3 linked regions of the Drosophila melanogaster genome follow. The gene in region 3 interacts genetically with the main gene of each other region. Each region holds a gene or a part of one and is shown on either strand. Other genes may lie near its edges. The genes, in order: cry, gl and so.

Evidence for each region.
Region 1: of so (region 3) and cry, changing one enhances a phenotype caused by changing the other (phenotypic enhancement), as found in Drosophila melanogaster (one study listed by BioGRID).
Region 2: of so (region 3) and gl, changing one enhances a phenotype caused by changing the other (phenotypic enhancement), as found in Drosophila melanogaster (one study listed by BioGRID).

The regions. Positions count from the first base shown.
Region 1 is NT_033777.3:19,210,007-19,213,762, reverse strand, and holds the start of cry (cryptochrome), read right to left. Parts: upstream 1,610-3,756; 5' UTR 1,423-1,609; coding exon 1,281-1,422; intron 1,205-1,280; exon of another isoform or gene 1,036-1,204; intron 280-1,035; coding exon 1-279. UniProt on the Drosophila melanogaster protein: Blue light-dependent regulator that is the input of the circadian feedback loop. Has no photolyase activity for cyclobutane pyrimidine dimers or 6-4 photoproducts.
Region 2 is NT_033777.3:18,370,711-18,374,466, reverse strand, and holds the start of gl (glass), read left to right. Parts: upstream 1-1,728; 5' UTR 1,729-1,950; intron 1,951-2,597; 5' UTR 2,598-2,688; coding exon 2,689-2,734; intron 2,735-3,017; coding exon 3,018-3,148; intron 3,149-3,631; coding exon 3,632-3,756. UniProt on the Drosophila melanogaster protein: Transcription factor required for gene expression specific to photoreceptor cells.
Region 3 is NT_033778.4:7,417,227-7,420,982, forward strand, and holds the start of so (sine oculis), read left to right. Parts: upstream 1-2,123; 5' UTR 2,124-2,772; intron 2,773-3,756. UniProt on the Drosophila melanogaster protein: Required for visual system development. May transcriptionally regulate genes necessary for optic lobe invagination and Bolwig's nerve formation.

The sequences.
Region 1 (3,756 bases), on a different chromosome or scaffold from region 3:
AAAGCGTGTGTGATACCTTCTCGACAAAGTCGATATTCAGCTCCCGACATAGAGAACGGATGCTTTCATCGCGCTCATTCCAAATTGGCTCGCAGTCCTGCTCTATGCAAATCCTGTGCAGACGCACTTGCTCATGTAGCCGGCGGAAGATATAAGCCGGTTCGCCCTCGAAGACCAGGAGGCGTCCACGTCCATCAGTTGCCGCCTGTAGCTGATCATCGATGTCCTGCAACGAGTCCAGGAGGAAACGCATCCGATTGTAACCCACATTCTTGGTACCTGTTAAGGAAGAGCATTTAACGGTTTTATAAGATTTATAAATTTAAAAAAAATTATGCATTTTCAAAGTTTTTTCGTGCACAATTTTCGCAAAACTAGGAATTCAAAACAAGTTTGTGTGTTTAAGTGCCACCTTTTAGATAAATTTTCAGCTTTTGTGCAAACAAATGGTTCAGTTTAGCCCATTTTCCATTGTAATATTTGTTTTCACGCTTTTACCCACAAAACGACGCTTATCGGTCAAGTGATGGGTTCTATAGGTATCCCCGTTTCTCGCCGACTTTTTCCGTGAGCGAGCTGTTTAAACACAAGCATTATACTGCTATTCTGGTTTGCACTCAATGTCTCTACCCATTTTGCATTGTCTTTCTATATCTCTCTCCCAGCGATTCGACGGAAAATTCTCAAAACCGCCAGCCACAAATGGCATTAGGGCGCATCGTTTGTTTTGCTCTACCATGCAAAAGTGCATTAGGTTTTCCCTCCATTTTCCGCCCCTGCAGCTCTCGCCCTCTTTCCATTTTCACAAGCAGCGAAAACGCTGAATTCGCAGCGGTCGCGGAAAGAGGTGGTATGTGATAACCGATGCAAGTCGCAAAAAATGATATTAGCTCATACGGAGAATGAGCGTGTAATAGCAATCAAACTAAAAGTATTTATTTTAACCCTCTGTTGCCAACGGTTTTTTATTTTAATTTTGTTGAATTTTCAAACTCTTTCCAAAAATCTATTTTTACACAAACTTCTGATGATTTTGTATGAGCAAATATATATAGATATAATATTTTATCTTTGATGTTTTGCTATCTATTAATTATTTTAAGATTATCTTAATATTTTAAATATATCTCCATGAGATATCCATATCTCATATAAAAGTTTTGAAGTAATAACTTAGGAAAGTGCAAGGTAAGTTCAAGGTTACCTGTAATCAATTTAATTTGGATACCTACATGTATGTGTGCGCAACGAAATAAAATTTTCGAAAACTCAGTTCTTACCTGCACTCTCTCCATCGAATATGAAAACGGGAATTAGGGCTATACCCTGATCCTTATCGGCGAGGGCGGCCAATAGAGCGGGATTATCATGGAGGCGCAATCCATGGCGAAACCAAATCACATTCGCCCCTCGCGTGGCCATCAGTGAGGAGTTCCCTGCTTTTGGGCTTCAAAAATCTCCCGAATCCCAGTTTTGATCGGGAAGAACAGTTTTCCAGCTGATGAAAAGATTTTCTTTTTTCCGCACTCACGATTCGCTCGCGCCGGCAACTAATTGACGAATGAGAATGTGAATGCGAAATTTGAGTGCTGAGAACGTTTCTACAACTGCAGCTCAACGTTCCCCGTGTTCGGCGTTATAAGCTAAAATGAATCGCATAAGTACGGTGAGTGCAACAGAGATGGCGAGAAAGAGACCTGTGGGAACCGCACACTGAAAAAAAGTACTTACTTCCATATATTATATATATTATAACCAAAGTTTAAGTTGGGCAAAACCAAACGCAGGCTAAAACTAAGAGTGTTCTATAACATCCAAATATCGTTTTTGTTTTTGTTATTGTTTATATTTTGAATTTCTATGCATATTTAGTATTAAAACTCGTTATAATGGCTGCGAGAAAAGATTCGAGAGTTGATAAGGATTTTGCGGACATGCATATTTTCTCCCAGTGTAGAAGCGTGTACTGTGAATCGGTAACTAGAAACAGCCCGTTCAAGTGCGTCAATACAAAGCTGTCGATCTGTATGTGTGTGTGTGTGTGTGTGCGAAGGGGCGACTGTGTGCTTGGGTGCTTGTGTGAGCATAAGTGTGGCACTCTGCCCACGGTTGCCTGCACTTCTAGCTCTGCGCCGAGAACGAGCCGAGCCCCCACCCCGAATCGACCCCCAGCTGACTGTCCCACCCCTTCTTCCCTTCGCTCTCACAGTGGGGCACTGCGTTCTGAGCACACAGAACCAGAAACTGAACCCAACTGTTGCCGCTTATGACGTGACGAGCTTTTGCAAGCACTCAACTCTGCAGTGGGATCGAGATGGGCTGTTTGCATGCTTATACTTATCACTTTGAAGTAATAATTACCTATTTGGGTATATTTACTTGGTTGTTTATTATGAGTAAATACATTTAAGTTTAAATAGTTATAAGATTTATTGATTATTTGATTTGTGCTGTGCAGACATTCATTTGTAAAGCAAGTAAGTATCGCCCTAACTACAAAAGTAGGTTAGCCCATTCCTGGTTAGTTCTTCTACAAATTATACTGGAAATAGCTATTTTGGTAAGAAAAAGATGAAGATGGAAGATGAGCAATTCTAGATACCAGTATTCTCCTATCAATATTTCGAAAAACCAAATACACTTGAACATATAATAGAGTAGCTAATATTCGGTAGTGACGCACTTTTTGGTTATGGTCCTGCATTGGCATAGTTAGTTAACCCGAGCATGGGCCACAGCTCCTTTGCCAACTTTGAGTGAGCTTTTCCCCCATAAAAAAAAATCCCCGCACGTCGAATACCCAACATCGCTGGACAGTCCCAACGAGCCTTATTGTGAGTAAACTACGCACTTGCATCACAAAAACTTTAGCATTGCACATTGCATGTTGCCTAGACAACGACAACGACACCGACAGCAGCAGCAGCAGCAGCAGCAGCAGTAAAAACAAGAACAAGGACCAAATGGAGGCAACGTGCGTAACGGAATGTCAACTGCAAAGCTCGCCGATGCACGTGTCCTGGCAACAACAACAACGACAGGCGCTGCTTGCAACAATCGGGCGAGGAATTCAAATGATGACGACGACGATGATGAGCCTTCTGTGGCTGGACTATGGCCAAAACCAGGATTATAAGGGGGCGGGGGAAAGGAACAGTGGCAGAGGCAGAGTGAAACAGGGTCAAATGAACAATGAAGTGAAGTCGAAAGGTTTTGGACAAAAGAATTTTTCTTGCCTTGTTAGCTTTTATGAAACTAATTTACGTTCCTCGGTTGGGATTGAAATTTCGGAAATTTAAAGATTGAGAATAGCAAATACAATTACTTATACTCAAAGAACTCATATTGCTCATACGCCAGGTGGGTTTCTATTCACAATTTTCACTTCATTGACATGGACATTTTCGTATAGTTGGCATTTAATTTACGTTCAGGTCGAACTTTTCCAATAGAACTTGTCCCTTGCAAAGGAATACCCACTTACCCATACGCCAGGTGGTACCAATTTTTACAAAGTTCTCACCATTTCCTCGAAATTGAATTTTTTATGATTACGGACAGCCTTTCATAGTTTGTTCTGTGAAAAATTACTGAACATTGGCTGATAAAATGTCATGTAGAAAATTAAATATGATTTCTCATAAACCAGATGGGACCACTCGTTGAAAGGGCTTTTACTTTTTCAATCGCCGCTGCTTTACCATAGTTTCCATTGTGCTTGGAAAAGATCCTGTATCCTGCGAATTGCATTTGTAA
Region 2 (3,756 bases), on a different chromosome or scaffold from region 3:
CACACACGACGCTGGCTGGGCTTGACCTGAAATTCCCATCGATAAGGTAAGGTGATATGGGGGATATAGCTCGATACGTATGCGATCACTGCAAGCCTTTGCACTCAACTGATTTTGCCAATTGGCGGTGAATTCGATTTCGGGCGTGTGAACCAGGTGATCGATCCGAATTGGGATCTCTTCATAGCATTATATCTATAATATATCTTAGCTAAATATAGTCGAGTTGGGCTTAACACATCTATTTCATAATTTCCATTTGCTTTTCCATCTGGCCTGCGATTTATTCCTTGCTTTTTCTGCTGCGACCACAAATCGAACTATCAAATAACATTCAAACTATTCACGATTGTCGGCCCGGCGACAAGAGCATCGATCGATTGGCAGTCGTCATTGGCCGGGCTACAATTGAGAATCAGCGCCGGAGATAGAGATACAAAGATACACGCAACAGAAGCAGATACACACGGCCAGATACGCAGATACAAGCTACAGAAGCAGTCAGGGGGTTGCCGGCCGACTTGGCCGATGGACTGCCTCACTTAACCACAAAACAATGGAGCGAAGAGGAAGCAGAATGCCGACGAAGACGATCAATGGTTGGCAAGTCCGTAGCAACTGTCCCTCCCTCATCAGAGACCCTGCCAGAAAATTCCCATTTTAATATGTGAATTACTTTATTTTCAATACTTCTTGTATCATATTTATATCATACCAATTACATTGTTTATTAATAATCCCTATAGTACTTTTTGTTTATTATGTAATAAAATTACAATACCTTTATTTTAAGAAAGTAAATAATATGTTATATATCGAAAATATTCACTAATCACAAGCATATCAAATAGTCTCAAGTGATTTGATGTCCTCTTAAGAATTTAGCGACAATCTGCGGTTGTGCATCTATAGATTTTAAGGAAAAGGAACTTCATATCTTCTTTTCAACAAATAAAGTGAGGATACTTGTTTGTGAATTGAAAACAACGTTATTTGAACGGCCATCGATTTTGAAGTGTAACATTCTAGAGCACTAGAACTGCTTGCTAGCGATTATTTCTCGAAGTGTACTCTTTTTTCTCCCCGCCTCGTTGGTATCTGGTGTCGAGCTGTAAGATATTGGGTGACAAATAAAAACTACTGAAAACTGCTGCCGATGTAGCTGGCCACGTATGAATGGGCCTGAAACTCGGACTGGGCGGGATCGGCAGCGGAGGAGTCGGATATGGAGGCGAAGGCGAAGGCGGAGGAGGGTGACTTTGGATTTGGATGAGGATGTGGACGTGGAAGCAGCAGAGGGGTGGGTAGTAGCCGCAAAAGCCGGCAGACGGAGCGCATTGGTTGGCCAACAACGATGACGGCAGCGTTGTTGTGGTGGTGGATGGATGGAATCTCAGGAGTGGGCATGGGATATAGTGCGGGATGGCTTGGTGTGGGTATGGTATGGTATGGGTTTGGTATTGGAGGAGGGGTGCTTTCAGCAAGGGTCTCGAGTGTGTAGTGCTGCGTACTTGTGTCATTATAGCCGACCAAAGTGTGAGTGCGAGCGAGATTGTTGTTGCCGTTGTCTTTTGCGCCCTTTTGTCGCTTGTTTATAATTAAGTGAGTATGTTTTTTGCGCCCTGCTGCTTCCTCTGTAGTTGTCGGTTGTCGCTTTGCTGCCGCTCTGCCAATCCGATATATCAGTCGATTTTGGGCCGAGGTGGCTCGAACCGAACTGCAACTGACAATTAGTCGCCGTCTTATGCTCCTCGCCAAAAGTCGCTTCTTGCCCCGCACTCGAAAAATCGAAAACTGAAAACGCATAAAATTCAAATCGGAAAACAACGATCGTGTGTTACTACTTAAAACCGAGTCTTCGAAAAAAAAGTTACAAACATATTTTGCAAGAAAACGTTGAAATTCTATTGGTGATCTTGGTATCATGCCATTTGTGGATCTATTCAGAAGGTGAAAACGATTAAGAGTGCATATGTGAATAAAGAACGGAATAAACAATATTAAATCTGCAATAAAAAAGAAGAAAGAAAAAATGGAATACAACTAATGTATTTGAAATAAAACCTAATAACTGCAAATAGCTAATTAAAATGTCCTAACAATGTTTTGGCTAAGATCGAAAAAATCAATTCACTAAGAAGATTTTATCAATTTAACAATATCATAGCTTTGATCTCATTAAAAAGAAAAACAAAAATTTACTTTGATTTGCATGCATAAATTAGTTAAATAGCAATTTTAACGTTTTGTTTCTTTCAAAATGAAAGTTATTGTAATTTTAGTATAATTTTTTAGTCCTAACAATAATGAAACAATCGAATTGAAATCCATCTTCGTCATAAGAGCGATCTATAATTCGATATCTCTTTTAAATTTAGAGGTGAAGAATCTGTCATATTGTGTATCTAATTTCTGATTAGCTGTCGAACTTTATTTAAAACTGAATTTATTAACACTTTATTGAAAATATATGAAGATTAGATTTGATATTGGTATTTGATTGAATAAATAATAAATTGAATAATAGATTTGAATAAATGAATAGAAAGTGAATCTTAATTAGAATTTACCAATAATGTTCCGTCATCGCCTTGCAGTTGGAAATTAACGCATCAAGATGAAGCGTAGGAAAAGCAGGAACAAATGCGCGACTGCTGAGCCCAAACGTTCCAGAAGTGGAGTCATGTCATGGGATTGTTATATAAGGGTTCCAAACTCCTGAACACAATTCTGGGTGAGTGAAATCGGAAGCACCATTGCACAGATATGCAGATACAGCATATTGTATGGCGATACACGGATGGAAAGTCGCGAGTCGAGAGAGCAAAGCAAATGGCGGTCTCTCGATTTGTGTATTTGTGTGTGTCTGTGTGTGTCTCGAGGGGCGGAGCTAGTGCGCACAGTGGTTGTCATGGGAGCAAAAATGTATCCATGAGATACGCGCTGCTGGCGAGCATCTCTGGCGTACTTCCAGTGATTTTCATGCTGTTCTTTTTTTTTTTTTTTTGGCTGCGCAGATTCCCTGGAAGATCAAGAGGGTGGAGCTATGTACATATCGTGCGATGTCTCAAACGGCGGTCCTGTGGAACCAGAGACGGGCTATGTGCCCAACAATCCCCTGTTCGGCCTGGCGCTGGACAGCCCTCAGGTGAGTCCTGGAATCCTTTTTCGATTTCGCCTCAATATCTCCGGAAATCTTCGAGCGTTCGGTTGTGCTTGTTTCGTGGAAAGAACTTAGCTGAAATCTGTGATATACCTGAACTATTTAAATTTTATAACCAGGAAATAGAACCCAATACCGAAATTGTGGTTATTTTAATTTGCTATATCGGTAACTGAAAAATCAGACAGTTTTGTACTAAGAAGTTTATCATTTTCGTTTTTAAAGTAATCTATTACATTTTTAACCCATACGATTTTATCTATTGGGAAGTTTAATAGCTTAGAAATTCCTTCCATATGTAATACAATTAAACTCTCCTCAGAAGTCAGTATTAGAATGTAAAAATAGTTAAAATTTACTAAATGTTTCCACTAACTAACTAATTATTTTGTCTTAGTTACGTATTAGTACTAACTGAATGTATTTCATAACCGGTCTCAATCTCCATTTCCGTTTTCGCTCGTGCAGCAAGAGTGCGCCGCTTCCTGCGTCGGCTGCCTATCCTGCCAGGGCAGCACCGCCCTGCCCATCTCCTCGCTCACCAGCAGCGACTTCGACTGCGGCGGCTGTTTCGATCCCACGATTGGAGTGGG
Region 3 (3,756 bases):
AGGGCCCCCCATCAGACAGATGACTTTCTCCATCCCTTTCTCCGAGGAGGCGGGGGTCATCTCGAACCGCAGAACGTGGTGTTGATCGCTGCATTGTTGTTGGGCTGCTTGCCTCGTTTTTCTCATTCATGTTGGACAAGATTTTTATCGCACTTTTTCATTAACATTTTGTGGCATCCCGTATCGCTGCCTCTCCATCCAACTTTGTTTTATGGCCATCTTTATGTGTTTTCTGGTCCCTCTGGCATTCCCAACTGTTGTCGTTGCCGTCTGTCTTTCTAATTCGATTGAAATATGATCTGTTATTATGTAAATTTTACGATTTCCTAATTTTTTTAACACTTATTTTGGCTATCGGTGACTGTCGAGGCCTGGCGCCAAAACCTTATCGATCGCTGTAAACGATACTGAAATCGCCAGCGGTATGGATCTTCACTTGGCATCTGATCTGTGTGGGCAGTTGCCGATCTTGATTAGGTGCACCGGCCTGGCGCCCCATTAGTCCATCATCTTTGTTGGATTTCGATCGAGTTTCCCAGCTCCGTTTCCGAATTTGCATTTTGGGTGGTCCTCGATGCGATTTTCACGGCACACGCTGAGATCGAGCTACCGATAAATGGGACAGAATTTTAATAAAGAAGTGCTGAAAATAATACCATTTGTCTAAGCGGTTCCTCCAACAACAGGTACTTTGACTAATTTCTATACATTTAGCGTTACATTACATTAATTACATTAATTTACATTAATTACATTAATTACCATCTACAAAATTCACTAAGCAGTGTAGTACTCTGTGATTTAAGTTGACTATTTGTATTCAAAAAGAAAGTTAGGCATTCTGAACGCATCGCTGCACTTTGTACAGGTGTCTCTAGATCATGTTAATAGTTTGAAATTAAATTAGGTTCAAGTTATTTCAGTTATCATGAACAAGGACTTGAAGACGAAAGGAGCCTGTGTATATAGTAAATATTTAGTAAACTAAATATATTAGTAAATCATTAACACAATTAGTTGGCTTCAATTACCAAACGGCTTCATCTCCTTCGGAATCATTAAATAATACAATGCAAACCGCACTAATGTGGAAGGACCACAAGGTTGAGTTAAACCAAAAAAGTGGAGTGAATGAATATGAGAAAAGGCCAGTAATTGCAATTATACGAGAGATGCATGGAACTATTGCGGTGAGTAATTCAAACGGCATTGTAGGATGGCAGCTATTGCACCGGGCATCCTTTCAGCCAGGATGAGGAGTTCCTGGGGAGGAGCAGCGATGCAGTTGCAATCACCTCCGATTTCCGCCTTTCAATATGGCGCCCAATGCGCATGCCTTTTTGCTGGCATGCGTTTCCGCTGACCAATCAGCACGTTGCTGTCCTCCAGTGCGCCGGTGTGCGTGAGGGCATCTATGTGTGTGTGTGTGTGTGTGTGTGTGTGCGAACAGGTAAGCCGAGGGGGCGTTCTTTCGGTCAACCTGTTTATGCGCTCTCTCGCTCTTTCGCACGCTGCCCCTCTCGCAGTGGCTGTCAAACTGTTGTCGATTGGCACCGTGTGTCAAATTCAATGGCTACACGTTTATAAAAATATTTGTCCAATTAACTTAACTTAACTTAACTTAATTGTAAGCCACTTTAAAAATATATAAAACCATTTTCTAATGTTTTGAAGATACAATAGCATATAATAACGGAAAAATGTACTATGTCTTACTACGAAAACATTAGAATACAATAAAATAAAATAGAATAAAAATAAAAACACTTGTAAAGGCAAGATATTGAAAACAACTAAAACGTAGTGAATTCTGAGTTATCATCAGTTCATATATGTGTAATCATGAACTGTGTGTGCCCAGTGACTTTATAAAAGTCAGTGAATGTAAGTCTCGCTTCACTTGATTCCATTATTTTCCTATAACGTTTTTGGAAAGTGACGCACAAAGTGTCGGTGCATCCCACTGTGCAGTTCACCCCCTTGGTGTTCGCTCACTCACACACTCGCACGACCAGTCGGCCATCTCGCTCTGGCGCACGCACACCGCCAGCGGCACCAACCATTTTCTGCCTTTTGTCTCGGCCGTTTTCGGTTCGATTAGGTTTGAGAACCGGAGAGTTCTCAGTTGTTTTCGAGATTCCGTCGCGTGCGGTTCGCTGCCCGTTCTACCCACGTCGCTCGCTTAGTAATCCAGGCCGGATCCGGCGGTCTTTTGACGTCCCGCGCACAAAGTTATATTTAATTTGCGTGTTTCCTGAATGAACGCATCAGTATCGCGCCACATAAACGCACACGAAGCGAGAGAAAAGCGAGCAAAATTGAGCTAATCAATCCGCGGGCGGCCATTTTTTGTTGGCACTGCCTCAGTGCTGTCGTCGCAGCTTTGCCCACCAAATTTGCAGGTGCAATTTGTCCGAGTCGCGCAGGACAGCGAAGTTTTCGCGAAAAGTAATTTGCAACACGTGTTCGCACAGTGCGTATGAGCAATATTCAACGGCAAGCTTGTGTTAGTTAGTGCCCAGTGTGATCGCGACTAAGAGTGTGTGCGTGCGCGAACGGCACATGGCTTCGATTTGAAGAGTTTGGCCAAAATGCAAATCAAGGAAATGCCGCACAGCCGAAATCAGCGCCTTCTTGGCCAACTCTAACATTTGCGGATATAGCACAAGTCGAATCGGAAAGCCAAGGCAAAAGGCACAAACCCAAACAAAGAGTAACAAACAAAAACTAACAAACTCGGATACGTATCAACAATAAATAATCAAAATACAGGTGAGCAGCGAGATTCAGTTTTCATGCTGCCGACGGCAAAAGTTTACTGTGGAACACTAGAAACCATGGCAAAAATATATGTAGATGCATAAGTAGGACGGATATTCTTTCACAATAAGAAAAACGAATGGTATATGGGGGATTAATTTAAAATAAAATTGGCATTGATACTTGAAAAAGGAGATATAATAACTATGATAAATTTCGGGACGATTATGTGAATAAATATAGCTAATATTAGATTATACATTTCCATATTGGAACCTTAAAATTATAAAACCATAAATATATACAAAAGTTTCAGAAAAATAATAATTTCAATAGGTCAAACTAAGCCTTAGAAGAACTAACCACATGTTCAAGAAATCACTTATCACCTATAGATAAGATCATAGAACATAGACCTTTTATTAAACATCCCATACGGTTAAAATGGAACTTACAGCAAAGCGTTATTCTTGATTAGAAAAGCCTAAAGTTCTCTGAGAAAGTATCAATCACTTTGCCTATTTGAAGACTTCATTTAAAAATATATTTTAGTGCTTTAAATAGCCTTTAAAGCGTGTGCAGCGAAAACATTAATGCAGTCCATAAATGTCACGGCGTATCTCTATCCGCTTTCTAATGGATCAATCTATCATCGAAGTCCATAGATTCACAACGTTTTGCCGATTTCAATGAGGAGAGCTGAGAGCCAAAGTGCACTTCGCTTTTTGGCGGCGTGGCATTGGCGAATTCCAAATGGCCAAAAGCCATCGGAAAACCAACTCGAGGCACTTGAGAAGCAATTCTGAGGGAATCGAAACGAAGGCAAAAGCACGGGAATTGCATGTTCACTTATATTTGGAAAGGAAACTTGTTTACACACCAAAAGAAAAATTCTGTTGTTTTATTCACCGCTCAATTTTTTTCTAAGTTTTCCACGTTTCCAAGTTGGCTACTCAACGGCCCACCCACCTCAGATGTATTTATTAATTAGAGGAA